Rhinolophus ferrumequinum: one gene and its partner. Each later gene encodes a partner of the first gene's protein in a complex. Links are inferred from orthologs where the notes say so. Each region holds a gene or a part of one and is shown on either strand. Other genes may lie near its edges. The genes, in order: ITGB7 and ITGAE.

Evidence for each region.
Region 2: the proteins of ITGB7 (region 1) and ITGAE are in contact, whole or in part, in a cryo-EM structure (PDB 8ZJF), measured with the Homo sapiens proteins. The link is inferred for Rhinolophus ferrumequinum from reciprocal best matches to the Homo sapiens genes ITGB7 and ITGAE. Residues at the interface, in NP_000880.1 of Homo sapiens: Val201, Leu202, Pro203, Ser206, Thr207, Val208, Pro209, Ser210, Lys211, Arg213, His214, Cys216, Pro217, Arg219, Leu220, Glu221, Arg222, Leu255, Asp256, Ser257, Pro258, Thr291, Phe292, His293, Thr294, Ala295, Gly296, Asp297, Lys299, Leu300; in NP_002199.3 of Homo sapiens: Phe36, Leu38, Arg91, His92, Arg93, Gly94, Leu111, Arg113, Leu118, Ser119, Ser120, Leu122, Glu196, Glu198, Arg230, Tyr233, Glu234, Phe237, Glu238, Cys239, Asn240, Ser259, Gln260, Val262, Met263, Leu266, Arg300, Leu401, Gln403, Phe406.

What each region holds. Positions count from the first base shown.
Region 1 is NC_046293.1:53,121,371-53,137,126, forward strand, and holds the start of ITGB7 (integrin beta-7), read right to left. Parts: upstream 7,395-15,756; 5' UTR 7,150-7,394; exon of another isoform or gene 7,070-7,149; intron 6,450-7,069; exon of another isoform or gene 6,432-6,449; intron 6,181-6,431; exon of another isoform or gene 6,075-6,180; intron 1,566-6,074; 5' UTR 1,563-1,565; coding exon 1,362-1,562; intron 1-1,361. Other genes in the region: RARG (retinoic acid receptor gamma), read right to left, coding at 9,352-9,551, 10,292-10,450, 10,908-11,112, 11,501-11,677, 11,863-12,023, 12,682-12,823, 13,049-13,197. UniProt on the Homo sapiens protein: Integrin ITGA4/ITGB7 (alpha-4/beta-7) (Peyer patches-specific homing receptor LPAM-1) is an adhesion molecule that mediates lymphocyte migration and homing to gut-associated lymphoid tissue (GALT).
Region 2 is NC_046304.1:14,723,087-14,738,625, forward strand, and holds the start of ITGAE (integrin alpha-E), read left to right. Parts: upstream 1-7,530; 5' UTR 7,531-7,977; coding exon 7,978-8,011; intron 8,012-15,539. UniProt on the Homo sapiens protein: Integrin alpha-E/beta-7 is a receptor for E-cadherin. It mediates adhesion of intra-epithelial T-lymphocytes to epithelial cell monolayers.

The DNA of each region.
Region 1 (15,756 bases):
CCCCCTAGCGCCACAGACTTCCTATTGAGAATCTCAGGGACTTCACTACCGCAAAAAAAAGGAGGCTGGCCTCGTCCAACCACCTCTTGATGCTCAGGCTGAAATGGGGATCAAGCTAAGACCCACAGTTCCTGGGAAGGGAAAGGATAGGGACAGAAAAAGAAACCCCTTCCCCCCAATATGTCTGGTACCCCTGGGACTGGCTGGGAAACCGCAGAGGAAGGAAATGGTTAGAGTGATGTCTCAGCTGGCCAGGGTGCCAGCCTATGGTCTAGGGATTGGAGAAGGCAGACATATACCCGACTGTCCCAACAGACTCCACCTGCCACCTCTGCTCTCTGCCTCCTGTAGACTGAGTCTTCCCTTCCAGCCCTCCCAGATTCACTACGTGCCTTTCTCCAGGGCGTGCTTAGCCTCTGTAGCTCTGACTCCTAGTGAGTTTGCCCTCATTCCTTATCTAACTCTCCATCTTCCTGTGAGAGAGTTAGGCCACCTTTATGTTCGCCACTCCATGAACTCTGTCTCCTTTAAGGCATAAACAAAGAACAGCCTTAATTGATTAGCCAGGAAGACACTGGCTCCCCAGCATCCTTTTGGGCCACTAAGGTAGCGCAAGCCTTTCACCCAAAGCCCACAGGCTTCCACTGCCTTCCCTTCTACCCTCTCAGTCACAGGCTGCTACATACCCCTGCCACCCCTCAGCACAGACTCAGAAACCCAAACATACACTTTCTGCTATGGATTAACCCTCAGTATGATGGTATTTGGACATAGGGCCTCTGGGAAGAAATTAGGGTTAGATGAGGTCATAAAGGTAGAACCCTCCTGAGGAGATTAATGTCCTAATGAGAAGAGACACCAGAGAGCTTATCTGCAGCCCATCTACTAAGCCAGGAAAAGAGCTCTCACCAGGAACTGAATCTGCTGACACCCTGACCTTTGCTTTCCTAGTCTCCAGAACTAATAAATTTCTATAGCTTAAGCCACCCACTCTATAGTATTTTGTTATGGCAGCCCGAACTGACAAACTTTCTCATATGTATACATGCATAATAGATCCCTCTACCTATACACAAGCATGTGTTCCAACAAGAACATACTTCCTCCAAATTCAGTCACAAGTCTTGTCCATATATACACAAACACACAGATACACACATAAACATACATGCACAGGGACGTTGCGTGCATGTTTATGCACACATGCAAACACAGTCACACACAGAAGTCCTGTGTGCACAAACTTAGTCACTCACAGGACTGCAGAGTACACCCTGAAAAATCACACATGTGCCCATACAATCACAAACATATATCCAGGCTGCACATACACCTACACATGGCTCATAGGCCATTTTTACCAGTTGCTTGCACCATGCACAGCTTGGATGTGAGAGGATGCACTTCTGGCAGGAAGAGGCTGGTTGGCAGGACCCCGGCAGGGACCGATCAGGATCCCCCCATTCTGTAGCGTCCCCTGGAGATGAGATCTTGGTGTCCAACTCACTCTCACTTCTGCTCAGGACCAGCAGGAAAACAAGGACCATTGACAAAGTCACCATGGTCTATAATAGGATATAAAGGGGAACACATGGGCCATCAGGGAGGACCTCCCCACCCAACTTCTCAGTCCTCTAAACTTAGCCGGTGGTTGTTACTCTCAAAACTCTACCCCAATTCTTTATCTCTCCTCATAGTTTCACTTCCCCTGTGGATTCAGTAGTTTCTTCAAAATGGCAGGAAGGGGTAAGTACCAGGTCATGGAACGGGCCTTGGAGAAGACCCATCCCTTCTGTGTGAAGATTTCAAGAGTCCAGCGTGGGCAAAACGGCCTACCCAAGAGTCTGGGCACTGGGCCTGGAGGCACTGAGGTCTACACACAGGTCTGTTCACCAAGATTCCAAGTCATGGAAGAAATAGATCCAAATGGGAAACAGACCAGGTTCTGGTCCTGCCTCAGTCACTCATTGGCTGTGTGTAAGTCAGACTTTCTCTTTGAGCCTTAGTTTCCACATCTGTAAAGTGAGGGCATTGAATAATCTGACAGCTCTTGTAGCTCTTAAAATCTTGGATTCTATGTAAGGAAAGAGGATCAGAGGCCATAAATAAGGGGGGAAAGTCAGAGAGTAGGAATGAAAAGAAAGAAAGCTGGAGCAGATGAGGGAGTGTGTAAGAGGCAGGGAAGTTTAGCTTGTACTTGATTGACATGGTAGCAAACGGAACAAAGATTAAACCATAAGAAGCACTTTCTAAAAGTCTGGGGTAACTGAGGCAGGAAGGCCAGAGGTTGTAAAATCTTTTCTCTTCCTCTACTTTGTGCAAAGGAAATCTGGAGTAGAGAAAGAGCCAAAAGGCAGGTCATTCCAATTCCTATGACCTCTGGAGAAGACTAGGCAAATTTCTGATTTTTAAAAACTTACTAATTAAAATTTTAAATAGTCAATCCATTACCACATTTCAAAAATTAAAAAGTGAAATCCCAAAGGCCTTTTTTACAGAACTGGAAAGCTGATCCTAAAATTTGTATGGAATTGCATGACTAGCCTAAACAATCTTGAAAAAGAATGAAATAGGGAGACTCACACTTCCTAATTTCACAAGTTACTACAAAGGCCACAGTCATCAAGACAGTGTGGTGCTGGCATAAGGACAGGCTTATAGATCCGTGGAATATAATTGAGAGTGCAGGAATAAATCCATCCATTTATGGCCAATTGATATTTGACAAATGTGCCATACCATTCAATAAGGAAAGAATAGTCTTCAACAAATGGTGCTGGGATGACTTGCTATCCACATGTAAAAGAATGAAGTTGGACTCCTACTTCACAACATACACAAAAATTAACTGAAAATGGATCAAAGATCTAGTGTAAGTACTTAAACTATAAACTGATAGAAGGAAATATAGGGATAAATCTTCACAGTTTTGGACTTGACAATGGATTCTTAGCTATGACATCAAAAGCACAAGCAATAAAAATAAAAATAGATAAATTGGACTTCATCAAAATTTAAAACTTTCGTGCCTCAAAGGACACTATCAAGAGAGTGAAAAGACAGACCACCAAATGGGAGAAAATATTTGCAAATTATGTATCTGCTTAGTATCCAGAATATAGAAAGAACTTACAAATCAGCAACAGAAAGACAACCCAATTTTAAAATGGGCAAAGGACTTACATAGACATTTCTTTAATGAAGATAATTAAATGGCTAACAAGCACGTAAAAAGATGCTCAACACCATTAGTTACCAGGGAAATGAAAATCAAAACCACAATGAGATACCTCTTCATACCTACTAGGGTGGCTATAATTTACAAAAAAGGAAAATAAGTGTTGATGAAGATATGGAGAAAATGGAATTTCCATCGTTGCTGGTGGGAACGTTAAATGGTACAACCACTGTGCAAAACAGTTTGGTGATTGTTCAGTAAGTTAAAGCATAGACTTACCCTATGACCTGACAATTTCCCTCCTAGGTATATTCCTAAAAGAATTGAAATCAGGCGTTTAAAGAAAAACTTGTACATGAGTGTTCATAGCACTGCTACTCACAATAGCTAAAAGGTAGAAACAACCCACTGTCCATCAACTGATGAATGGATAAACAAAAGGAGGCATATCCATACAATGAAATATGATTGGGCCACGAAAAAGAATGAGGTACTGATACATGCTACCACATCAGTGAACCTCGAAAACATACGGCATGAACGAAACCAGTCATAAAAGACTACGTACTGTATGATTCCATTTATATGAAATAGCCCGACTGGACAAATTCATAGAGACAGAAACTAGACTAGTGGTCGCCAGGGGTTGAGGAGGAAAGGAGGGTGGGGAGTGACTGCTTAATGGGCAGTTTCCTTTTGAGGGGAAGAAAAAGTTCTGGAACTAGATAGCGTTTGTGGTTGCGTGGCATTGTGAATGTATTTAATGCCACTGAACTGTGCACTTAAAAATGGTTAAAATGATAAATTTTATGTGTATTTTACTAGAATAAAAAAAGTTACACACAATGGGATTTATAGATGATGTAGTACAGAATTGTACACCTGAAATCTATGTAATTTTACTAACAATTGTCACCCCAATAAATTCAAAAAATAAATAAATAAGTAAATAAAACACACACACACACATATATATATACATTAAAAAAAAAGTTAAATAAGAGAGTGAGAAATCTTCCATTCCTATCCCCCGTCAACCCTAGTTTCTACCCATTCCAAATAAATAATCATCATTTATTATCTTTTGTTGCCTATAGTCTTTCTAGAGATTGTTTTATGTATATACAAACTAATACGACCATATATATGCTTTTCAAATGGTAGAATCAAATAGTAGAACTGTACAAATAGTAGAATACACACAGTTCAGCATCTTACTTTTTTTCTTTGAACTATTTTTCTTGGAGATCCTCCTACCCAAGAAAATAAAGAACTTCCTTCTTCACTTTTACAACCATGTAGTTTTCCATTGCATGGATTTATCATAGTGTAGCTAGTCTCTTATGATGGGGATTTAAATTGTTTCTAATTGTTCGCTATTATAAATAATGCTGCAGTGAAAATTCACATACTTATCATTTCACATGTGTGCAAGTGAAGCTGTAGGATAAATCCCTGGAAGAGGATTTGTAGGGTCCATAAATAGGTGTCATTTGTAAGACTGGTATTGCCAACATAACCTCCTCTGCGACTGTGCCAGCCTTCATCCCTGTCAGTGGGGGATGAGAAAGGCCCCTGAACTCCTGGTCCTGAAGCACCTGCCTCCTCCTCAGCCTACACTCAAATCCAGATGCTCTGCACAGAGTGTGGGAAAGGGGTGGGGTACCAAGTCGTTGACAGCCCCCATCGTGCTCCCCACCACCTGTGTGACCTCAGGCATAGAATGCATCTGTAACGGATGCTCCACCGTCTCTTGAGAGACCAGCCCAGGGCTCCGCCTCAGTGTAACCTCAGCCCTGCTTGCTCTGCACGCTGTGGTCAGGGATGCTGGGGATGTTGCACCTCAAAGCCCACTTTTGACTCATCTCTCACAGGTGGGGCCCCCGTGCCACAGTGGTTTCCCAGATAAGACAAGCCCAGAGAACTCAAGCCCCACTCATCTCCCCTAAGGAGGGCTCTGGGACTCCAGGACAGCCCACTCCAATCCCCTTCTCCCAATTCCCCACTCTCTTCCTGGTTCTGCCCTCTTTGGGGACATGTGACCTGCCACTTGCTTCTCTTAATCTGACTCACTCTCCCCTCCCTAATCAAAAACTGAGGAACATCCTTCTGCGGGTTTTCTCTTCTGTTAGAGGCAGAACAGCGACTGAGACGGGTCAGGCGCCGTGGTTGGTTTGCTCCTTTCCTCCCCTCCAACCCAGGCACCATCATCATCAAAAGTTGTGCCCTCTCCCCACTAGCTCGCATGGGCTCTACCTAATCCCCTTTCTCTTTCCTTGGGGGACTTCTTCATCTTCCCTTCTCTCCCTCCGTGGTTGTCCCATTTGCCTGGACTCAATTCTGACTCCAATACACACCCTACTTGTTCCCTCAGCAACCGAGAAACAGAGCTTCTTCCCAATCCATCCAGACCTTCCCAAGTCAAGCAGAATCCTCTGCTGCCCCCTTGGAATCACAAGGAGGAAACAGAACCGGACCCCTGGGCCACAGTCTCCCAGGAGTGTGGGATCTGTGGCCAAGCTGCCAACTGGAAGGAGGTCTGCACTGAGCACAAGGCATTAGGCAGCAGGAATGGCATCTGGGGAGTAATATTGGGAGAACCCCACCTTGACATAATCCTTGGCACATGGCAGGCACTCAGATGATAGCACTCATATATTCCCCCACCTTCTTTTCCTCCCTCCAGCCCCATTCTTGGGAAACTGATGCATGAGAGGTTGGGGGAGGAAGAGCTTGTGAAACAAGACAGGGGACCTTAGGAATGCAAAAAGGAGTTCAGAGCCTTTCCCAAGTTTCAACTGAAACCTGGGCGTCAGAACCCTCTTCCCGGTGGTTGGGACCAGTTGGGGCCTGGACGAGTAAGGGGAGGCAGGAGGGCTGGTGCCCTGGTACTCACAGGTGCCAGTAGAGCAGCCTTTCCTCCAGCGTCAGCGGCAGCCTTTGTGTACTGATCTGGGAGGCTGCAGAGGAGGAAGTGACACACCCCGGGTGGGGGAGACTTTGGGGTAGTGGGGGTAACTGATCTAGAAAGTGGAGCAGATAGGGGTGGAACTGGGCCAAGGGAGTTGATGATACAGTGATCTACAAAAAGAAAGCGAGGAAGCTCATCTATTGAGCACCTAATAGGTGCTGGGTGTATCATGATGTTAAAATTAATCCTCACAAGAACCTCATGACATAGGTGTTAGTATCTGCCCAGCCCCCTAGTTTTTCACAGATGTTGAGGCTTAGAGGTAAGAAGTAAAAATGTTACCTAAGGTCACATAGCTAGTAGATGGCTAGTCTGGGATTGAAATCCAGGTCTGCCTGCCTCCCGAGTTGATGATCTCTCCACTTCCTCATATAGGAACAAGATAGGAAGAAGTATGGAGGCAGTAAGTACTGTAAGGGGGACATTAATGGTCCATTTGAAAATCCAGTGCCCACAGTATCATAGTAGGTGCTTAACTACGTAGGCTCGGGAGCCAAACTGCCCAGGTTGAAATCCTGGCTCTATCCCTTACTAATAGTGGGACCTTCAGTAAGTTACTTACCCTTCTTGTGGCTGTTTTCTTACCTGTCAAGTAGAACTCATAGGAGTGTTGTGAGAATTAAATAATTCATACAATTAAATAATTCATGAGATAATTCATACAATTGCTTAGAAGAGAACCTGGAACATACTAAGGGCTTGATGAGAGAATCAGTGGATGAGACGTAATGGGGTGAAAAGTGGAGAGGCTTTGTGAAATTCAAGGTCCAGAGAGCTGGGAAGTTAGAGACACAAAGAATGAGACTGGGGGCCAAGGAGCCAAGACAGTAGTGGAGCCTGGGAAAGGGGTGGAGGAGGCCACCTGGGAGAAGCAGAGACTACAGGATGACAGCTGGAGCTGGGGCAAGGATGAAACCTACCTGTAGGGAGACCGGAGTTGTGGAAAGTATTCGCCCCTGGCCCACACCTGACCACAAGGAACCCTGAGAAGGAACTAGACCTGAGCTCTGTGTTCATAGGTCCGTCTCCTCTCCCAGAAGTAGCACTCCTTGCAGGCAGGACTGCCCGAAGCCACAGCACCTAGCAAATCTCATAGCAGGTGCTCATCAAACGGCAGATGGATTACAGAAGTGTAGCTCCTGGGAGGAGCAACCCGGGCGAAGGGGTTCCTTCTCTGGGTGGCCTTCAGTTGGCCTCAGGCTCTGGGCCTTTTTACCCTTCCCCCACCAGCAGAGGTTACTATGGCAATGACCCCTCCTGCCACAGAGTCCCTGTGGTTTCCTTCAGAGCTTCTTTCACTTTCTTCTTCTGCTTTTCCCCACTCTTGTCTCCTCCCTTACTCCCACATCCTCAGCCTCTCTCTCCCATTTGCATAGGTCATCGGTGAAGAAAGCCAGGAACAAGGTAGGCTAGGCACTGTCCCGGGCAAGAAGGTGGACCAGCGCAGAGGGAGGAGCAGAGGGAGGAGGGGGCGGGGTGTGATATTGAAGGGGTGTCACAGAGGGCAAGGGGAGGATGAGTATAGAGCACAGTGGGACTTGTAGGGGCAAGGAGAGAGATTCGAACAGAAAGGAACAGTGGAGTCATGGAGTGAAGAGAGTAAGCTCAGAAGAAACAGAGTGACACATCGATGAGAGCGGGAGAGCTCATGGAGTGAGGTGTTGTTATAAAACAGAAATACTGTAATTTAGATACAGGCCGTGGGTCTTTTCTTCTGGGCCAGAGACCCCACGAGAACCGAATGAAACTTCAATGAACCCTCTCCCTAGAGATTCGCATATGCAAAATGGGGGCGGGAGGGGGGTAGGACAGCTTAAAGACCTCTGAGGTCCAGTCCTGCCTTGCCAGACGCAGGAGTCCATAGGGTTGATAGAAGAATGCACTAGTAGCTGTGGGAGGCCCAGACACTCAGGGTGGGCCCTGTGGGCTCCCTTTCCCCCCACCCTACCAACCCCTCATCCAGACACACTACATCCTATTTCCTTGGTTCCCCTGAGAAAGCTGCAAAATCCAGTAGATTAGGAGCTCCCCTCCTCACTCAGGCCCTCTCCAGGTCAGCTGCTCCTTTCCCCCAATGCAGTCTCCTCCTCCTCAAAGGAGCCACATCCCATGAGTTTCCATCACTTTATTTTGCAAAAATAGAAAACTCAGCAATATGCGATACAGCGGGGTGGAGGGGAGATGTAAACAGAGGGGAGGGACAGCACCCTGACCCCCCAGAGAAAAAGGGGAGCCAGTGGGAATCTTATTTGGCAACTAAATACAAACTGGGGATTGAAGGAAGAAGGGAGGGGTCACAGGGGCCCTGGGCTCCCCCTCCCAAGACCCCTACAGGAAGGGGTCAATTCCAGGGTGTAAACAAAAGCTAATAAATAAATAGAGGCTTCCTCTGGGTCAGGGCGGGATCAGCTAAGCAGCACCCACCCCCCTCTCCCTGGGCCAAGCTGCTCTGGGGGCCAGGGAGGAAGGCACTAGGGGGAGCCGGGTCCCCTGGCCCCTCTGTAGTGTAGGAGGGTCCCTGCCCCGGTGGCTGAGATGGGGGGCAGAGGGAGCCCAAGGCACATGACAGGGCTGGGGCTTATAACGGAGGGCACAAGGTAAACTCTGGGCCCAATCAAAGAGGTGCAGAATGGACCTGCATCTGTCCCTTTCACCCTCTGGCCCCCCACAGAAATGCAGGGCACAGTCTGCCCCCACCCCCAGTCTGGAAAAAGGATGGGGCACAGAGGGCAGCGTGCACCCGGCAGGTGCATTACGCAGCATGAGGCACCAAGGGCAAGGGCAAGAGGGTGGGCTCAGCCCGCCCCCTATGCCCCCCTTTTGGTCTCTAGTGTTCCTGTTTGCTCCCAGAGGCCTAAGCACCTGGCAGAGGAAGAGGCTGTGGAATGGCAGGGTCTTCCTCCTGCCTGGGGGAGCCTGAGACCCTGATGTCTGAGGGCCAGTGCTGAGATTTTAGAGTCTAAACCCAGGCTCACCCCTCTGCCCTCTCTAGTGGGAGCAGGGCAGGCCCCCAAGAATGGAGAGGGAGTCGGTTAGAGCAGGAAGGGGATGAACACAGAGGCACCCCTGGAAACTTTGGCAAAAACAAGGAGCTCGCTGGAAGGAGTGGGGAGAGGGCAGAGCAGGTCCTCCCCCAGTCACTGGTGGTGTCTGGGCGATGGTCAGTCTGCCGCCTGGAACCCCAACCCCACGTCAGGGGAAGTCAGGGGCCCTGGTCAGGCTGGGGGCTTCGGCCTCCTTTACTCTGACCCCCAGGAACCTCATCCTCGCTCGGGGCCTTAGGGTGGGGACCAGTCTGCGAGGAGTCGTCCTCAAACATTTCAGGATTCTCCAGCATCTCTCGGATCAGGGGAGGCATTGGGCCTGGAATCTCCATCTTCAGGGTAATGGCCCTCTCTGCTCCTGCAACAGAGGGGTAGCGTTTCAGGGCAACAGAGGCACATGTCCCTTGAGGCCACCTACCTAACCTCTCTCAACTGCCCTGCTACTCCCCTCTGGGGGCTCCCAGCCCAAGCCTGCCACCTCTCTGCCCCAGCTCACCCTCTCCCTAATTTAGGGTTGCTGGGGTCCACTCCTCTGCCTAGAGCCTCTACCTGTCTGCTCTGCCAAGCTGCTGCAATTCGTCTCATTCTTTCAGGCTATCTTCTCAAAGATCACACCATTCCCCAGCCACACCCCCCTCTGATGCCCACAGCTTGTCAGTTGTCCCTAAGCCTGATCTGCATAACACTAGTAATAACACCTACTATATATCAAACACTATCTACCAGGCAGCCTTCTAAACCAGCACTGTCCTGTAGCATTTTCTGCGACGATGGAAATATCTGCTCTACCCAATGTAGTAGGCGTAGCCACATGTAGCTACTGAAACTGAGGAACTGAGATTTTAATTCAGGGCAGTTCTAAGCCCATTGTGTGTCAACTCATTTAGTCCTCACAATAATGTATGAGGTAAGTATGAGCATCGTTCAGTTTACAAACAGAACAAGGTACAAAAAGTAAAGGAATTTGCCCAAAGTCTCCCCACTAGCATGTGACAGAGCTAGATTCCAGCGCAGACTGCCCGGTCCTCACCCACTCAGTTCCTGTCGCTACCTGCCCAGCACCTCTGGGGAGGGCGGGGAGGCTCCCTCGTGACTCACCCTTGGTGCTGATGCCCCGGAGGTCAGTGATCTTCATGAGCATCCTAGGAAACATGTAGGGCTGGCTGGGCCGCCGCCGCCGCGCATATAGCCTCAGGGCTTCCAGCAGTGGCTCTTGTAGCTTGTCCACTTTTTCCGGTTCCTCCAGGTCCATGCGGTCTATGTAGACAGCGCAGTGGAGTGAGAGAGGAAGAGGTGGGGCAGCCAGTGACAAGTGGCTGATCCCCAACTGGCCCTGCTGTAGGGGCCTCCAGACCCCAAACGTTGTCCCATCAGCCCCTTGCCTATTGGCCCTGAGCCCCACTCAGGCCGTCTCCCCTGGCCCAAGCCCGGTACCTTCTCCCCTTCAGTAAGAGATTTGTTCTGGTAAATCACTCCGGCCCAGACACCTATCTCAGCACCAGTATCTGGAGTCTCCTCGGCTCCCCCTGGCTCTACCCCTTTTAGTCCTATGTTCCAGGCTGCAGGGAGCCTGCGTTGGATCTAAGAAGTCTGTGGATGAGGCCAGACAGAACAATCCCAAGGGGACGGACTCAGGTCTCCAGCCTGGTCAGAGATCAGGTGTGAGGTGTGGTGGGAAAGGAACGCAAGCAGACACCAGGGGGCGCCGTCGCACCTCCGCAGATGAGGCAGATGGCACTGAGCAGCCCGGTCTCTGTGTCATCCATCTCCAGTGGCAGGAGCTGCCCAGCAAAGGCGAAGACGAGGTCTGTGAGGGGCCCGAAGCCAGCGTTGTGCATCTGTGTCCGGTTCAGGGTCAGCCCGTCGGAGAAGGTCATGGTGTCCTGCTCTGGGGTATACCTCGTGCAGATCCGCAGCATCTGGAGGTGCGGGGGTAGGGTTAGTGCTGTCTCTAGAGAGGGGCAAATATGGGGGTGAGGATAAAGAGGGAATGAGGTGCACACAAAAGTGAAGAGGTTAGGTCCAGAAGGAGGGCCACCTGAAGCACTCAGGGAGGAAGGCGGAGAGGAGGGGCGTCTGAAGCTTGGGGAAGGAAGAGAAGTCCGAAGGAGGCAGGGTGTCAGAAGGATAGGATCAGGTTTTAGGGGCCGGGGTTAAGGAAAAAAGGGCTTGAGTTTAGAGGAGATCTGGGGAGTCCCAGATTGGAGGGGGAAGGAGAGAGAATGAAATCTTTGTGTGTACCAATTCCTTGGTCCCATAGGAGGGTCAGGCTGTGGCGGAAGACAGACCATAGGGTTATTAACTTACCAGGATGTCCAGACAGGCAGCCTTGAGCAGAGTGATCTGGTCAGCGATGCTGAGCCCTGTAAAGCCGGGCAGCCGCTTGGCAAACTCCACAATCTTGATGATGCACTTGGTGGCCAGCTCACTGAACTTGTCCCACAGCCCCAGATCCAGCTGCACCCGGTGGTCTGCACTGGAGTTCTACAGGGAGGGCAGGTGAGCATGTAAGCTAAGATCTGCCCTGCAAGCTGTCTTCTTTCTGCCGACACCCCAAAAGCACTCCCCTCGGCATTCTGATGCCCTCCTTATCCTCAGCACCAGACCAAGGGCTCCAACACAACCCCGACCCGTTCCCCAAAGTGAACAGTCCCCTGCCCACTCCTCACCGTGGTGTATTTGCCCAGCTGGCAGAGTGAAGGGAAGGTCTCCTGATGGGCTTTGCTGACCTTGGTGATGAGTTCTTCTAACTGGGGGCTCAGCTCATAGTTGTCAAGCGACCCTTCTTCTTTCACCTCTTTCTTCTTCTTGTTCCGGTCATTCCGCACAGCTTGGGGTGGAGGTGCAAGGAACAAGTCAGGACCCTCAGAAACTCCCTCTGGATATCTCCTCTTGCCCTAATTTAATGCTCAGTCCTAATCATGAACATCTATTCACCCTGAGACCTTAGTCAGTGCCTCAGTTTCCCTATCTCCTACATTAGCTTCCATGTCCAAGCTGGCTCTCCCTAACCCCACCCAGGGCCTACAGCCCCTTCTCCCTCCCCAGGCCATTCGGCTCCATCCTGCCCTTCCTGTCACCCTGCAGGAGCTGGGGGGGAGGGGGGGCAGGATATGCAGGCAGCAGGATATCCACTTATAGCCTTGGCAGCACAATGGTGCAGGGCGGGGGCACCCCAGATCCACCACAGGCTCAGGCCTGGGAACAGGGGAGGGAAGGGACTGGCAAGCCCTCCTCTCACTTCTCCAAGAAATGGGAATGTGAGATGGTAACCCCCATTCACTCATTCAGAGGAAGGGTTAATTAAGCCCTGAGATGGGAGAATGCGGGGGCTTCCTAGGTGAATGGCGCTAATCAAATAGGACTGGCCAGGGAGGAAGCAAGCTAGATCTCAGAGGTCAGGGAAGTAGGGGTAGCCTATGGGAAGAGGGTGGCAACCACAGGCTAGGACAGGAGTGTTCCTGCCCAGGCCAGGGCTAGAGGCCTACCTTCCTTGGACATGCCCACTTCAAAGCACTTCTGTAGCCGGCAGTACTGGCAGCGGTTCCGGGTCACCTTGTTGATGATACAGTTTTTGTCCCGATGACATGTGTACACCATGTTCTTCTGGATGCTGCGTCGGAAGAAGCCCTGGAGTTGGGGATGGGGGGAGTGGAGTGTCAGTGAAGCAGGGTGCTGGGAACATCGGGCCTTGCAGGTTGCCCAGGCCTGACCCAATCTATTAACCACCTATGTGCAAAGCAGGCCCCTCCCACCTCAGAGGGATACCCACTCACACACAGCGTCTTAGCCCTGGTCTCTGATCTCACCAGGTAACTCCAGTTGCCCAACGCATCCACCCCACCACATACACACCTTGCAGCCTTCACAAGAGCTGACCCCATAGTGGTAGCCAGAGGACTTGTCATTGCACACGAAGCACGGCTTGTAGACCCGAGGAGGTGGTGGGGGCGAGGGCGAGCTGGGCACCATCTCCTCCGAGCTAGTGCTCTGTGTCTCCACCGCTGGGGGGCAAGCAGTGTGATATGAGAGTTGGGGGAGAAGGACCCTTCAGATCTCCAGGCAACCTCATCATACACACACACCCATTCCCACTTCTTCCTCCTGCTCAGTAATGACAACACCATCACCACCACAGTGATTTAAAGTCCCAAAAACCATGGACAGCCCCGTAGTAAACATTTCCAGAAACCCCCAAACAACCACGATTACTGCACCTCCTAGTCTGGCCATCTCCCCAACAATAACGCCAGCCCAAAGCTTACATGACACTGTTCAATTCTCCATCTGGAAGCTAACTTCTCTGGGCCTCAGTTTCCCCAGTTATAATGTAGGTAGGTGAAGGGGTTATGGCCCACGGCTCTGAACTCTTTAATCACACCCGCTCACGTTGATTGATCCTTGTCAGATAATCTGCCTCCTACCATCCTCCTCCACATGAGGCAATAGATCTGGGGGTGACAGGCAATTCCAGGCCACCTGTAGCTGGCACCTGGCTAAATGACCTGTTGGGATACCCAGTAGGTAGAACAGGACCTCATTTTCTCTCCAGTAGTACAGGGTAGATAATCCTCTCTTTTCCCTCTCATACTGCCTACCAAATAACCGCCAACGTCCTTTTCCCCAGAAACCATTGAGACAGTGGAGCAAATGGGACACAGGTATCAAGAAAGTAGGTTGCAGGCTATGTAACAGCCTTATTTTACATCTGAAGGAACTGAGGTCAAGAGAGGGAAGTAAGCAGCCCAACGCCACACTGCCCGTTGACAGTGGAGCCAAGGCTCTCAAATCTTCTGACTAGATCTGAGTGGCCTGTGAGGCACAGAAGTTGGGAAAGAGGAGGCTGAGGTATTTGCTCAGATTCTCAGGTCTAGATGCTGTTGGGGGTATAGCAAACCGAGAAGTCAGGTGACACTGGGTAAACAGGGCTGTTGGGGGAGGGGAGCTGTTACTGGACCTTCTCTGGGCCTGTCTTCACTCCTAAGCTTCCCCACAGATACCCACTTGCAGCTCCAAAGGGGTCTCAGCCCACGCCACACAGAGTGTGTGAGGAGGACACCCTTTGTTCAGCAAGCTGCTAAGTAAACGTTTTTTTGGGTGTGTGGTTGATCTTCAGAGGCTGGAAAAATCTGTAAACGATTCAACCTGTAGGACCTGTTCCCCAAAGCTGGAGGGCCCGAGCCATGCAAAACCCTCAGACCCTCCCTAAGGAGTGTCCCACTCACCCACCTCAGGAACATCTTCTTATTTCTAACCGCTGCAGCCCACCTGGTCAGAAGTCGCCCCATGCCCCAGAAGGGCAGAAGGCAGGCCCAGGAACCCTGTCCCAGCTAGCTCCACCCACCCCACAGGAGGGAAGCCCTCCCGCCCCCCAAACACAGGCAGACACTCAATTAACATAAGAATCCTGTTGGAGGGAGAGTCCCCAAAGAAAAAAGGAGAAAGAGGAGTGGAGGAAAGTAGGGTGCCTGCAATCAATTCTGACTGAGGGCGGGAGACTCCTGGAGGGGCTGGGGCTGAGACACGGGCCGGTTGGAATGCCTTTCGGGACCCTTCCTGGTATCCTCTGAGGGTACATGTGCCACTGTGCTGGGTGGTGCTGACTGCTGACACCCTCCCTGCCCGCAGAGCGCTGCCTCATTTCCTCTCTTTCGAAAGGGCCTGGGTGTGGTCAGACTGGCATGGGGCAGTGCCAGCCAATTATAAGACTGGGGACCGAAGGGAAACAGGCCCAGGGGCAGCTTTTCCCTTCTAAGTGGCACTGTCACTCCTTCTCGGCACCCTCTTGCACACCCCCACCCCCTGAACCCTAAGGTGCAGCCCAGTGGGCAAAGGGTGCAAGAAGGTGAATTGGGTCAACTCAGCTCAGATCCCCTTCTCAGACAGAGCCCCCACCTTCAACATGCAGCTCCCAGGCTAGGCTGGGCCCCTGCTGGGGATGAGGGGGTGGGCTCAGGGTTTTTCTCCTTTTAAAGCCCAAATTGCTGAAATTGAGGAAATTCCTGGCCAGGCTAAGCGGAGCTTCAAACAAACTCTTTATAACCGGCTGTAAACGCTCCCAGCTGCGAGGTCCAGGGCTGAGAAGCCCAGACTCCCAATCTGCCACACACCTCCTCGTAGACACACACTCTCACATGTCAACAGGGCACCAAAGTAGACATATCACCAATGGGCTCCTATACCACAACCAGACGGAGGCACAGAACACACAGGCAGTTTAAGGGCACTGACTCCAACCACCCTGTGGAGGTGGATGCACAAGTCATAAAACAGACACAAACACTGAGTGCTCCACTTCACATTTGCAAGCCAGCCGCTCTGCTACCAGACAAACACCCTGGCCTGCCAACGCAGCACCAGGACACAGAGAAGCGCCAAACATGCACACACACACACACACACACACACACACACACACACACCCCACAGGGCCCTTGCCTCAAAGGACCTCTTGCCTTCCCTGATTTGGACACCCAGAACTAGAGACTCTCAGTGAAAGTGTGTGGAGCAGGCATGATGCCCACCAACGTCGTAGAGGCCAAAATTATTGGTTCAAATTGAAA
Region 2 (15,539 bases), on another chromosome or scaffold:
GCTGTGGTCTCTGCAGTGTTCAGAAAGTGCCCCCTCTTGGGCTTTCCTTTGTGTTTCCCAGTCATGGTCCTTTAACAGCAGTAGTTCAGGCCCATCTGTCCCATGGCCTTTTTGCTCTGACCAGTCTCCTGCTGGAGATCAGGGAAGACTTTCTGGAAGGGTGGTGGTGTGTAGTCAAAATTGGGTCTTTGATCTAACCAAGAAAAAGGCCCACTTCAGCAGCCTGGCAATTCTCACAAACACGCAGAACCCAGAAAAGTATCTGTAAAGATTAAGTTAGTTTCTGAGTAATCTGCCTTAGCCTCTCTTGCTCTCCAGCCTGCACTCAGGCACTCAGATTCTGCAATATCTTACACGGGCCCTGAATGCCCAGGCCCTTCCTTTGGAGTCTGGCGGGGAGAATGAGCAGGGCAGTGCCCTGGCAGGCAGCTCTGGGCTTTTATCCCGCGCACTCTTCACGTATGTGGACAGAAGGGCTCCTGCGTTTCTGTATTGCTCGTAGTCTTTACATGTGCGAGATTTTAAATACGTTTTTGCTGCTCGATAATAGTTAGATACCTCATTTCTGTTTCCCACTCTACCTCTCGGGAGAGGTACCAGCTACAGGAGAACTTGTGGAGCCCCCACAAGGCATGAAGTCTCCTCACCTGGCCTCCTCTAGTCTGATCCCTCTAGTCCCTTCCCTTAGTTCAACCTCTGTCGTCTCCCGCTCCATCCCTGTCGCAGCCTCTTTCCCGCCCCTGCCCCGTCTCGCCCTCTGTTCTGCACACTGCAGCCGGCGTGAGCTCGTGTTGTTAGCGGCTTTATTGAGATACAATTTTTATAGTATACAATTCACCCATTTAAAGTGTACACTTCAGGGGCCTTTCGTATGTTCACACAGAAGTACAACCATCACTTTACTCAATTTTAAAGCATTTTCATCACGGAAAAGAAACCGTCTGCCCAGTAGCAGTCACTCCCCATTCCCTGTTCTCCCCAATACCCGCTAACTATTTCTGTCTCTGAATTGGCCCGTTCTGAGCAATTCATACGAATGGAATCATCGCTTTGTGGCTGTTTGTGACTGGCTTCTTCTCACTAAGCATATTTTCAAGGTTCATCCATGTTGTAACTTGTGTTAGTATTTCATTTCTTTCTATTGCTGAAGAATAGGCCACTGTGTGGCTGTACCCGTTTTATTTATCCATTCACCTGATAATGGCGTTTGGGTTGTTTCTCCTTTTAGGCTGTTACAAATAATGCTGCTGTGAACATTCCTGTACAGATTTTTACATGGACATATGTTGTCTTTACTCTTGGGTTGCACACCTAGGAGTGGAATTGCTGGGTCAGACTGTAACTCGATCTTTGTAACCTTTTGAAGAACTGCCAGACTGCTTTCCGAGGGGCTGTTTCGTTGTTCATTTCCCCCAGCAGTGTATGGGAGTTCCGGTTTCTCCATATCCGTGTCAGCGCGTGTTGTTTTCTGATGTGAACTGGTTTCTCGTGGTTTTGATGTGCATATTCCTGAGGACTAACGATACGGGGCCTCTTTTCATGTGCTTCAGGATGAACTTTTGTAGGAATGTCATTCCCGTTATTTCTCTGCTTAAAACCTTTCTTTACCATTGCCCTTGGAGTAAATTCCAAACTCCTTTCGTAGCTCCTAAGGCTGGTTAGGATCTGGCCTCTGGCCGTATTTCTGGCCTGTGTGCCTCATGCTCCCCTGGCCCCTGCTGACGAGTTCCCTGGACCCACGTTGATCTCACCAACCTTTCACACCTGCTCAGTGCTGTTCCCGCAGCGACAGCGACAGCGACAGCCTCGCCTGGTCCTGGCCCCCTCCTGCCACCCAGCGTCCAGAGCCAGGTTACGGGCCCCTGTGTGTGTCCCACAGCACTGCCACGTAGGAGTCTCAGCTCATTCCAGGGTTAGGTTAGAAAGTTATGCCTCCGATAAAAATTGAGTAATCGCAATTCCTCTAGGAAACCCTGAGGAAAGTGCCATGTTGGAGACCATCGTCACGAGGTCCATGTGAGCACAGCTGGTGCCTGCCCTGTGGGAACAGATCACGGTTTCTTTGGTTGAGCACCAGGTAAAGTGTTGGTCTGCAATATAGGGCCATGTGGTGTAAAACACACTTATTTGTAGGTGTCAGAATCACACTCAGGCGAGAAGCTCGCGTTGAAAGAGGCTCTTGGGAACTGAGCCGGCCACAGGAGCCGCAGAGCACGAGCTCGCCTCTGGCCTCCCTGCTCAGGGAGTGGAGGAGCAGGGGGAATGGCCCAAAGGACCGAAAACGGTTTTTTGTTTTCCTGTCTCTTTTTTTCCATTGTGTTTGCTTCAGTGAAGTGTGTGTAAAATACCAAATGTCTGTACACCTTTACACTGGATTGTATTCCCTGTTCCTGCTTTGTCTTTTTGCTAGACTGTAAGCTCTGTGAGAGCAGGGACCACGTCTGGCTTGTTGCTGGGGTTTCCCCGGTCCTAGTACCACGTCTGGCACCTGGTGGGTCCCCCATAGACGTGTGAGAATGTGTGTGTCACCAGCTGCAGGAGCAGCTCCATCTTCTGAGGCCCTGGGGTCCTCTCGCAGGCTAGTCCTTGCTTGTCTGCTGTGTACACACAGCGCTTGGTTTTCCCATTTTGTTTTCCCTGCTAGCCTGTGAGCTCCTGGTGAGCAGGTGTCTTCATGGTATTTCTCTATCCTCCCACCACGCCAGTACAGAGTAAGTGGTGCTTAAGAAGTGTTCGGTGAATGAATGAATTGTGGTAACCCAACCCTGCTGTGGCCCTTTTGTCTACAGGCTACAGTTTACTTCTAGCTGAGACCAGCAGATCCAAAAGGAGGAAGATGAATCAGAAGTGCACACACTGTACTTGTATAAGAAAAAAAAAAATCTCATTAATACGATCTCAATAAAATTCAAATTTTGGTGGTCTGGCCATGTCTGAGCTGAAGCTCACCCAGCTCTATACAGAATTTGCTAGGGAATAACGTAGATCAGAATAGTTTTTTAGAAGGTGTTCATTCCCCCCAAGAGCAGGGAAGGAAGCTGGCAGGTGGATGAGAGGCCCCCAAGAGGGACCAGCTGCGCCCGTTCAGCCTCTGATCCTATTGGTGAAGAAAGTGACGGCAGTCCAGAGAAGGCCCGAGGACATGGAGCTTTTTGCCTAAAGCAGCTCTCACAGGAAGCATTCTTAATGTTAGGCGGAAATGCCAGCAGGCAGTTTGGATTCGAGTTAACACCAAATCATGGCTTCACAGCTTAATTGCTGCACAAGTGAGTTTGATGTGTAGTTATTTGCTTTTAAATCTTGTGTAACAAGAAGGAAATTAGAAGTTACGCCACTTTTTTCTTTTAAGAACTAAAAGGACAGTGTGTTTTTGTAATCTTGAGAGTAGCACATTTGCTTCAAGGCTGATTGTTATTGTGTGATCTGACCACCAACTACCAGGACTTTCTCTTACATGTTTATATAATAAATCTTAGAAAAAAATACTGGAGCATTTTTTTTAAATGAAATTCATGAACATTTCACAGAACTCTGATGTTCCTTGGAGCAATTAAGGAAATGCTGGCTCAAAAACCTATCTCAAATAGTTACAAGGCATGGAAGTGGGACTTTGCTGTGCTATAAATAAAACTAGAGTATGGGTAGTATTTAACCTACCAAAATCAATGCCCTGCCTTGGGGTTCTTATTTGTTTTTGTTTAAGCAATTCTAGAGACCCTCTGGATGGCCATATTCTTTAGTGGTTAAGACTTGTGTTACCTCAGACTGCCACCGTCTCCCCTGGGGGTTACTGAGGGCAAAAGGCCCACACGATTGGCAAGAGATGGGACATGGCCTTCCTGTTCCTTCCTGGGGTTGTGTGGTTTTATACTGCGATGCGTCCCCTCTTGTCATTGATAAGGGTTCCTCAGGGAGCCTGTGAGCAGGAGGCAGTGCTTTTAGGTCGAGTGTCTTTCACGGAGGATCACATAGAATGGGGGCTGCGGCTGGGAATTCACTCTGTCTCATGTACAAACCGGAAACGACTGAGCGAGTCCCTTCACCTGTCTGGACCTCAGTTTCCCTGTCAAATGAAGGGCTTGACTGAGATGATCTCCAGTGTCCTTTTAGTGTCAATGTGAGTTCTAGGATCTTCGCTGTACTTTGCCAAGGAGCATGAGGACTGGAAGCTGGACAGGAAACAGGGTAGGGGCAAGCCTGAGGTCTACGCCCTCGGACCCTGGGTTCCATGACCCAATGCAAACTCCCCTCCTCCAGCCCCTCAGTTATGAAAGGACACAAGGAGCCTCTCCTTTGCTCCTTCCCCACGAAGGCCCCCTTTCCCAACACACACACACACACACCTGACTGTTTGGGAGCTTTCTTAGGAGGTAGCCCAGTGTATGAGTCCGCTTGGGCTACCATTGACTGGGTGCCTTCAACAACACGTTTATTTCCTCACAGCCTAGAGACCAGAAGTCCAAGTTCAAAAGTCCATACTAGGGTTCTGGTGAGGCCTGTTCCTGCCTTGCAGGTGGCCATCTTCTCCCTGCTCACGTGGCCTTTCCTTGGTGCGTGTACATGGAGAGCGGGATCTCTTCCTCTTCTGAGACCACCAAGCCTCTAGGATTAGGCCCGACCTTGAGACCTTAATTATCCCTAAAGGCCCTATCTCCGTATATAGTCAAATTGGGGGTTATGGCATCAACAGATTAAGTCGGGGAGGGGACACAGGTCAGTCCACAGCACCCAGTAATACAAGGATCCCAGTATATGTTTGTGGAATGAGGTCCCTGCTTTTTAATAGCTCATGGGAGGGATTTAGACCATGGATCTAAAGGCACTGGGGTTTGTAGTGGTTCAGAGTCCTGGTTCTGGAGGAGACCGACCAGTTTTGAGTCCCGTCTGCCACTTACTAGCCATATGGCTTTGGGCAAATTACTTAACCACTGTCTCCGAGCCAGCCTCCTCATCTGTGGAATGGGGATGACCCAGCAGGGTGGCCCTGAGGGTCAGCTGAGGGCTTGCATGGAAGGCCCTTGGCACAGAGGCCGGCACGCCAGCCTGAGCGCTCACAACGGAAGGGATTACTACGTGCTGCTCTTCAGTCTTAGCTGCTCTTTGCCAGCTCTCCTCCACTGCAGTCCTCGCGCTAGGCTCCTGTGTCGGTAACGTTCTGACTTCCAAATTCCCTCTTTCCAGCTTCCTAGGACTCAGAAGGCAAGTGGGTAATTAGAAACGTTTTCTGGTGTGGGAGCTATGAGGCAGGGCTGTGGGGACACCCCCACTCCTGGTGAGCACAGGTAGCAGTGCTTTTGGCTCACTCTCAACTCTCCGAGGAGTTAGTCCTTTTACTTCATGCTCAACACGGCTCTTCCATTCTGTAACTTTTAAAACTTTATTTTGAAACTGCAGAACCTTTCAACTGTAGAATAAAGAACACTTTGCCACATTTTATTTATTCTTTCCCTCGTCCTCTCCCCTCTCCTTTACCTCTCTCTGAACCGTGAACTATTTGAGTTACTTGCATAGGTTATGTCCCTTACCCCCTAAATTTTTAGTGTACGTTTCCTAAGAACAAGGACATTCTCTCATATGACCGTAGTATAGTAATCAAATTCAGGAAACATATAATTTTACCTAATCAGTAGTATCTAATCTATAATTCATGTTTCAGTTTTGCCAACTGTCGCAATAATGTTTTTCCCCCCCAAATTACAGTGTATTATATCTTATGACTTTACTTTTTCCCCCTGTTTTTAATGAAAATAAATTCCAGCTAGATTTCATGCCCTCCATGTAACTCTCCACAATCAAACCATTCACCTCTTATCTTTCTGGCCATAACCAGAGACTTGAATTTCTGGTTACCATTCTCAGGAACAGTACTCTGTTTTACTGAACCAATAATGTTTTTTAAAACAATTATTTTTCTGCTCTAGGATCCAATCCAGGATCACACACTACATGTAGTCTCCTTTAATCTGGAACAGCTCCTTAGCCTTTCTTTGTCTTTGATGATATTAATGTTTTTTAAAGACTTCAGTCCACTTATGTTGTAGAATATCCCTTCAGTTGGTCCCTAAACATTTGTTTAAAGTCCGAACTTTGGAAGTCGTTTTCAAATTCCTTTTGGATACGTGCGCACTTGCTGAACGTCCAGGCTTGTCCATAGCGTACCTGGCCCTTGGGACCGTAAGTTTGGGTTTGTGGGTTCAGCAGTTCCTGTCAGACAGGCTCGAAGGGCCCCTGTGTGTGCTCAGGACTGTGGGTCTGCCGTACTGGCACCAACAAGCTTGGATAAATACATCCCAGGTGGATGAGTCCTCATCTCCAAAGATGCAGAAAGTGGCCCTGTGCCTGGTGCAGCAGCCAGGCGTCCGCGTTGCCTGGCCTCCTGAGGTGTCCCGAAGTTCGCCCTCCAAACGCCAAGCTCTGCTTCTCACACCTCCCGGGAGCTGCAGTCCCGGGTTCTAGCCTGTCCTGCTGATCTGCTCTGTGGCTTGGGGCTCCTTGCTTGCCCCTCTAGCCCAGTGGTGGGGAGAGGAGCCGCTTGTCACTCTGCCAAGTGCCCCTGACACTGACCATGCGTGGGGAGGGGGAGTCCCTGAGCTGGCGGTGGTGGGTGGTGTTGGCGGGCCAGGGCTGGCCTATGACGCCGTCAGCTGACCTGGGATCGTCTTCATTGTGATCTGGGATGCAAATCGTCAGACCTGGAGCTTAGCTTTCTCAGCTGTTTAATTTCTCTCTTGGATATACAGTGTGGAAAATGGTGAATTGCTATCTATTCGAACAACTCCGTAACATCGGGGAACGCTCTTACTAGTTGTAGGTATTTTGTCAGACCAAAGCGGACAATGCAGAAATGTTTTAAGTGTCATCGATCTTTACAAAACTTCGGGCAAGCAAGCTTTTAATGTGAGAAACAAAATAAACGTGGTTTTCATCTAGTCGTTAAGTCAACACCATTGTCTGCTGTATTTTAACACATTAACACTTCAAAGTTGCTCTCCCTGGACTCACAGTCTTCCGGTGAGAGAGATGTAGAGTCCCCTGCTTTTTTGAATGTAAAATAATTAAAGTTAAATAAAATTCAAAATTCAGCTCCTTGGTTGCACTGGTGACATGTCTAGAGCTCCATTGCCACCTGTGTGGCTCCTGACCACCGTGTAGGTCTGGAACGTGAGGGCAGAACTCTGGGGAACAGCCCGGCTCTGTGCGTCAACAGTGGAACGGGTGTGAGAGCAGCTTCCTTCTATGACAGGCGACAGACTTGGTCACACAGGGACGTTAAAATATGACTGCAGACTGTTGGCAGTTTGCATCAGAGGCATGCTGAAATATTTATGGAATTCCACTTCTTCTGTTGTTCTGGTAGCTCAGAGCTCTATTAAATTAGTTCTGGATCACGGTGCTGCAGCCAGGGTTTAGAGAGAATGCGGCCAAAGCTGAATTGAGGAAGTGATTTCAGTGAGCTCGTTGGATCTTTCCACTCACCTGGCCCTCCACAGCCTCAGGGCCTTGAGTGCAGGACCAGGTGCAGGAGCCCAGTTTCTGGCTGTGGGGACATTTCCTGTAGGAAGAGGGACCCATTCTCACTGCTGAGGCGACTGGGTGCTGGGCTGAGGTGTGTGGTGATGGGCCTTGGGGCAGGGGGCTGGGACTCCCATGGACGGTGCACAACGGCGGGGTAACTCCTGCTCCCGCGCCTCAGACCTCTGCGCTCAGGACACCCAGGGCGGTGCTCCCCGGCTGCACCGCTCACCGATCCAAGTGTGGGTGACCGGCAGGGCTGCCGGTGTCTGAGCTCCCAGGACCCAGCCCCCAGCGAGCGGCTGAGGAAGCCACGCAGCCAGCTGTGTAGAGTGGGAGCGTCTGTATCACTTGAAAGTGCCTGTCTGCGGGTCCTTGCCTGTATGTGCCTCTGTCCCCGCCTCCTGGCTGCCCCAGCTGAGGAGGGGAAGCTGAGCAGGCAAGGCAGCCTCTGCCCCAGCTAAGATGTGGCTCTTCCACACTCTGCTCTACGTGACCAGTAAGTTGGCCTCACCCCCTTCCCTGAGGGGCTGCCATGCCCTCAGCACAGCCTTGTCTGTCTGTCTGTCTGGGTCAGAACCAGAGATCAGGAAAGGTGTGGGACTGTCTCCAGGGAGAGCCTCTCCCTGCGTGGGTCAGATCCAGGCTTCCTCAGAAGGGCGCCTGAGGCTGTGTGACAGCGCTGATGGCCTGTGGCGTCAGACTCCACAGCTCTGCCACCCTGTTCCTTCTCCAGCCAGCCTCCCCTCCCCAGCCTGGGCCCTCTCCCCACGGCACCCACTCTGGGCAGGTCCTCAGGTCTCTGCAGAGTTTGTTCTCAGAGTGGAGGTTGACAATGACCCCCCTCCCTCCTGCAGAGCACCCTTCTACAGACCAGGGGTTCAGCTGATAAGGGTGGGGACCCTCTGCGAATGTGAGCGTTGCCGAGACCACAGAGGTGTGTGTCTGTAGTAGAGGGTGAATGCATACTGCTTCCTGTTCCAGTATGAGAATCTGTGTATGTGTGTGTCTGTGGGGGTCCTGTTCTGGTCTTTAAACCTCCCTTGGAAGCCACTTGGGGCCAGCCAAGCCCTGAGCCCGTACCTGCCTCCGGAACCCCACCTTTGGTCAGCCAGCCCCTGGGCACCGCTCAGATCACCCCGAGGCCAGGGTGGTCCTGCCCGGTGATCTGGGCACGCTTCCTGGGGTCTCCTGCTCTGGTCAGAAGCGTGACGGAAGAATGGGCTGGACGTCCCGTAGAAGTAGTGTCAGAGCTCCTGGGAGACAGTTCTCCCTGAAGGATGGGCCAGGGCCTGTCAGTGAGCACCAGTGTCTGAGTGCTGAGTCCAGGATGGAAGGGGCCTCGGGATTAGCATCCATCATGAGGCCCGCTCACCAAGAGACAGGCCGAACGTGCAGGGTACCAGCGAAGCATGTATTGTGGGACACATTTTAGTAGATGATATTTCAAAAACAGCAAAACAATCATCGTGGAAATGTCAGAACTTTATTGTACTTTCTTTTCCTGATTTTACAGTGTAGACTTACCTTTGTTTTCAGTTACGTATCAGGTATGGAGAGGGCCTCAAGTGTTTTGTGTTGTACGGCTTTGATTGCCCAACACCAAGAATGCCTGGAGAAGATGCTTAGACTCTGGTCCACGTCTTCCCAGTACAGAGGAGGTGACTGAGGTCCACAGAGGGTGCAGTGACTAGGCAGGGTTACAAGCATTAGTAGAAATGGGGCTCCAGCCTAGGTCTCTGTCCTGCCTTCCGGCTCTAGAATACCCCATGGCCTGGAACACTCACCCTGGTGTCACTTGGCGCCTACTTGTCTGTTTCCTGTGGCCTCTGGAATGACAGCCATCACCCCCAGCACCTTTTTCAGAAATGTCAATCCAGGTGATATTTATCAACCCCCTTTCTGAGGCCTCGGCACTCTGAGCTGATGGACAGTAGAGAGCAAGATGGAGCAGGCTTGCCATGCGATCACTTAGCTCACACCTTGGCTAAGTTATGGGAGGTGAGTGGGAGCAGGGCCCCGGCAGCTCCAGTCTGGGTGAGAGAAAGGAAATTGGGAGTTTTGTTCCAAGGTCCGAGGTCCTGAGACAGGGATGATGGACCAATCCTAAAGAGCTTCTTGGAGGAGGTGAGACTAGCGCTGAGTCCTGAGGACAGGGGAAAGTGAGAAAGTGACAAGAAGGTGCTGGGGAGAGTGAGAGGAACCCCCTTAGACTGACCATGTCATGCGCCTGGCTGGGCTTCCCTAGGTTAGGGAGAATCCAGAACGGCTCTGGCCTGACTGACCTTCCGCCCTTTCCCGGCCACCCAGTGTGGTCATGTCGTCTTGTCATCCATGGGAGCAGATGAGATAACATCAATTGAGGGCAATTTAGAGTTGGGCGCAGACACACAGACACGCTGAGAGCCTGCAGCTGCCCATACCCCCCCCCCCCCCCCGTCCCTTCTCACTCTGCTACCCAATGGCCTGCTGTGCCTGGGTCAGTCGTCACCCTTGACTCACTCTGTGACCACAACCACTCACTTCTCCTCTTGGGGTCAGAGGTTGAGTCTACAGCCTACAAATTATGAAGGGAACTCTGCTATCAGCCTACAAAACCTTACAGTGGTGAAGGAGCCGGAGCCAGACGTCCAGGGCCTGCTCTGCTGTCATTCAGCCTTCAGGTTAAAGCCTGTGGTCTTGCTGGGCCCTGCTGGGGGCTGGGAGGCGAGCGGGAAAGGCATCAGACCCGCCTCTGCCTGGGACACAGCTCCAGACCTATGTGCAAGTGTGTGATAAAAAATCTTGGTCATTGTGGCAAGGGGACGTGTCTGAGGTGGCCCTGAGATTGGGGAAGTTTTTAGCAAGTACAGATTGGTGGGGGATGGGAGCTTTCTGTGCAGGAGAAAGATACGGTGTGTGGGGAATCTGTTTAGGGAAGTACAGGGTGAAGTTTGAGTGGGAGCGGAAGGCTGTCTCCTCTAATGTTGCCTGTCCCCCCCATACCTGGGACATGCTGGGCCCTGGGGTGAGGGCAGCACCTTCCCTGCACTGGGGCCCCTGTGTGGAAAGAAAGCAGGTCGCACACACACAAGGACCCCTCTAGCCCCAGAAGGAGGGCCCAGTGCAGGATGCTTCCGTCTCACACACGGGGGAGTGGGAAAGGGCGTTTTAGTGAGAGGTGAATGTCACTGAAATGCAGTGTTTGTGGGCAAGCCGAGTGGGGAGTGCCGCCAGCGTCTCCGACCTTCTCTGGGAGGTTGGTTGGAGGGTGTGGTACGGGGGGCATGTGAGCAGTCAGGCTGAGGGAGCTTGGACCTCTCCCTGAGCTGTGGCATGGGAAGCCACAGCAGGTGTCGAATGGGGTAGTGACAGGGAGCCTTGTGTGTTGTGTGGAAGGTGGAGTCCTGGAGAAAGGAGGCAGAGAAGCCAATGAGGAAGCTGCTGCCATGGTTCAGGCCAGGGGTGTTGGGGCAGCTGAGCGCGGGCAGGAGGAGGCACTCGTGAGAGACACTTAGGAGGAAAATCAGAAAACCCAGCAGCGCTTATCCCTGTGCCTGGCACATGGGCAGCGCTCAAGACCTCTTAGCCATGGTTAGGCAGACCCTGGAGGGTGAGGCAGGGCCAGGGGCTCGGGTGGCTGAGGTTTGGGGCTGACACGCTGAGGCTCCCGTGGGAAAGACCGAGGTGGGTGGGCTGAGGGGTGAGCTGTTCCACGGGTCGGGCGCTCTGTGGGCGCCCTTGAGCTGTGACCGCCCCCAGGCCTTGTTGGGTGCTCTGCATGCCCAGGGAGGCATGCTGGGAAGAGGGAATGGGTGGAGGGCGGGAGGGCGGGCGTCAGGACACCTGAGCCTCATCCTGGGTCTGCAGCTCGCTCCTTGTATAAATTTGGGCAATGCATGTCCCCTGGGCCTCAGTTTGCTAAAGCGGAAATATGCTGTGAGAAGGTATTTAAAATACCAAGTGTGGTGGGGGAGATAGGGAGAGGAGGGGCCGGCAGTGGTGGCTGACAGGATGGAGGGAGGGTCTTAGTCTGACTCAGCAGGCCCACATGGTGGGGGACAGCTTGGGGGAGACAGCCGTGTGGGTAGTGTGGTGACAGACACTGGTTTATCCGGGCTGTGATGTCTGACAGCCTGTGAGGGGGGTTTGGGATGGATGGCAAGGGTGTCAGAACGTGAGAAGCCCTCCCTTGTGGTTATAACTTAACTTGGCACCCACACACTGAGCCGCTAGCGTGTCAGACGCTGGGTGGGGCATGGCCGCCTTTGATCTGCACAGCCCCACATCGCAGATGGGGACACTTAGGTGATATGGCAAGCTTAAGGTCCTTCAGTGATTCTGTGGCAAAATGATTTGAACTCAGGACTGCCTCTGGGGCCCATGCTATTTTCTGAGTCTCAGTGGGAAGTGAGAAAGGAAGGGGTTAGCCGATCTAGGGACAGCCCGAGCAAAGGTTAATGTCGGGCCTGGAGGGATTCTGCTCCAGCAAGGTGACCCACCCCTGGCAGACCCCCGGCTCGGAGGGGTTGGCGGCTGTGACGGGAAGCTCAGCGAGTATGGTGACTCCCACCTCACAGGTTCTCATGCCACGCTACTTCCACAGGAGGTTCGCTAACCTACTTAGCAGCCCTCTACACCAGAGCTCTGCCCCGGCTCAGTGAGCTGCTAGCACAACTGGCAGCTGTGACCCTGCTCTCTGTTAACCAACCCCTCAAGCTTTTAATCAGGCTTTGGAATCAGACAGACCTGGGCCCCAGACACAAATCCCTTTACCTCTCTGAGCCTCGGCACCCAGCGTGGTGCCTGGAAGACAGCAAGTGCTCGGAAGGGTCTGGATTGGAAGGGTCAGGGTCGCTGTGAGTGTCTCTCTGCTCCTCTCCTCCCCTTTCCCACCCTTCAGGGATCTTGCACCGAGATCCCTCAGTTGAATAAAATGGAAATGGGGTGAGGATGGGGGTGTGGGGGGGGAACAGGATTCTGGCCCATTCTGACATTTCCAGGACACCTCTTCTGGACCTGGCCGTGTATTGAGCTGGGCTTTGCAGTGGTGGGGGCTGGGGTTGTCATGGATGACTCAGAGCAGATAACAGTTTGGGGGAAACAAATTTAATCACAGATCACTCTGACCCAGAGAGGATATAGTCAGAGCCAGACAGAGACACCACAAGAGGCTGAGGGGGTGCAGGGACCAGTGAGTTACTCTGGTGGGGAATCGGGATTGGCTCCTAGGGCAGCGAGTGCCTGAGCAGGGCCCCCAAGGATAGGGCAGAGGCAGGACAGTTGGTGAGGAAGGCATGCTGGGTAGAGGGAATGGCCTGTCCAAAGGCCCCGAGGTAGGACCTGTGCAGATGGTGTATAGGAGTGGGGTGGAGAGGAGCTGGACGTAGCTGGAGAGCAGACTTGGCAGAGCGGGTATTGGGCTGGGCAGGGAGGTGCCATGAATACCCAGTTGAGGAGACCTGACTTATGTCAGGAGTTTTAAATCATGTCTAAGTTACACAGACAGTAAGAAGGGCAAAAGAAGGCCTTCCAATCACCCCTTGTCAGAAGCTGGTAATTCTCACTTCTTAGTTCTCTTTGTCAGGATGCTGATATCCACTCTTACCCAGCCTGGCTGATCAAGAAACACAAGGCTTGGCAAGCAATGGGCCGAGGAACCTGAGTCCAAACTCCCTGCAGGCATCCTTTGTCTAAACTCTGTGTTCATAGAGAACAGTGCTCCCCCTTCTCCGCCTGGGGTCTTGAACTGGAGCCCTTGAGGGGCCCTGGGTCGGCCGCAGGGGATCTGTGAGCCCCCTTCACCCATCCAGTACCTAACCAGTGTAGGCCACCATACCAGGCCCTGCGATGACACACAGTCTTGGCTCTTAGGGACTGGTGGTGAGGGGACAGTCACAGGCAATACGTAAACAAGGATGTGAGCAAGGTAATTTCAGTCTGTGAGAGAAAAGGTTTGTGGGGGTACAGAGTGGCCAAGCGGGGGTCGAGGTCAGGAAGACCTCTGGGAGGAGGTACACAGTTAGGTTAGGATGAGGAGGAAGGCAGGAGAGAGTCTCAAGGCGCAGCGCTCAGGCAAGGCCAAGGTTTGTGCAAATGTGCACTTGGCGGGGCTTGGGAAGGGTTCTGACGCTTCCATAAGATCCCCAAAGGGTGTATGGCTCCCAGACAGGGAAGAGCTCATGGGCTGCTTAATTTTCTGCATTCTACTTTGGGGCAATCGTGTGGAGGACACAAATAACAACTCCGGGAAATTTGGGGTGCAGGTTTATTCATTCAGGGTTTTGTTTTGTTTTTTTTAACCCGTCTTGTCCCTATTCATTTAGTGTTTTTCCTGAGAGAACCCTCAGGGAAATTTTTTCTGGTTTTCTGTTTTTTTTTTTCAGCTTCACCAGAGTAGTTTTTGGGTTTCCCCTCCAATTTTGTGAATCCTGTGAATGATTCACAAAATGATATAACTGATCATTTTCATCCTTGTGTTGGTTTCAAGAAAGTTCACTTATTTATGCATTTATTCAACAAATAATTTTATTAAGCGCCTACTGTGTCAGTGCTGTGTTCAGAGACAAAAGAGGGGCCCGTCATAGAAAGTGCTGGCACTTGTTGATGTACAGGTTAGTTCCTAAGCTCCTTCCTGGTTTCACTGTACCGCTTTGTTTTTACACCCCTCTTGCAAATGACTATTTTCCTTTTGTCCTTTGTATTCCACCTGCCCCATTATTTTAAAGCAAGTTTTATCTTAGTGTATTGTGTATTTTTATGAGTCATCACACATCATTCTGGGCGAGGCAGAGGTAGAAAGGGAAAGGAATAAAGTACAGATCCCCACTGTGTGCCAGCTCAGGGAGAGGGACCGGGAGTGAGAGACGAAGGAAGGGAGGTCTCCCTCAGAGCCCTCTCACATTGCACCTCTTCCTGGAGCCTTTGGAAGGTTGGGTTTTAATGACAACATTTTAAGCATGTACAATACCAAAGAAAATAACAACGAACCCAAAAACCCCATCACCCAGATAACAGTTGTCAAGATTTTACCACACTGCTATGTTTATTTCACTCTCTTTTGGTTTCCTTTGCCAAAACATTTTAAAGCTTTGCTGCTCAAAATTTGGTCTGGGGACCAGCCGTGGGGCATCACTTAGGAGCTTGTGAGACTAGCATCTCAGCCCCATTCCCTGACCTACCCTGTCAGAAGCTTCATTTTAACAAGATACTTGGGTAATTCATTTGTATGTTGACGTTTCAGAAGCATTACTTTAAGACAAATCCCAAATATCATGTCATTTCACCCCTAAATACTTCAGTACGCGTTTCTGAAGTACGTGGATGTTTTCTCACCATAGCCACAATGTTTTTATCACCTAACGGAATTAACAGTAATTCTTTGGTATCATCTAATACCCAGTCCGTGTTCAAATCTTCCTGACTATCTCAAAATGTCGCTTTTTGTCAGTTTGTTCACGTCAAGATCCAGTCAAGGTTCACACTTGACATTTGGTTGCTAAGTCTCTTCATCTAGAGCAGCCCCCTCGCCCATATTTTGGTTTGTGTGTCCTTTTCAAGTCTTTGCTTTATTGCAGAACTTGTAGACTATTTCATTCAGGATTTGCATGTTTGCTTCATTCAGGATTTGCACATTTGTTCTTCTATCCCCTACATTTCCTGAAACCTGGAAGTTAGTGCTCATGGCTCATTAAATTCAGGTTAAACGTTTTTGGCAAGCATATTCTATAAACAGTTCTGAGGATTTTGCCATACGTCCTGCGTTTATCTCACTCCCCCCTTTTTGTTTCCTTTGCCGAAGTATTTCACACACTTGCTGCTCAAAAGGTGGCCTCATTTAGGAGCTTGTTAGAAATGCAGTCTTGGGCCTCTGTGTCCTTGCTAAGATGTCACACCAGGAGGCACGTATGCGTGGGGACCCTTACGGATGCTAAGATTAACTAAAGGGCTCAGGGGTGTCAGCCTACTTGTAAAGTGCTCTACCAAACTTTCGTCTGGTAATTTCATCCACTGGTGATTGTGGCCTAAGTTAATTATTATATAATGGC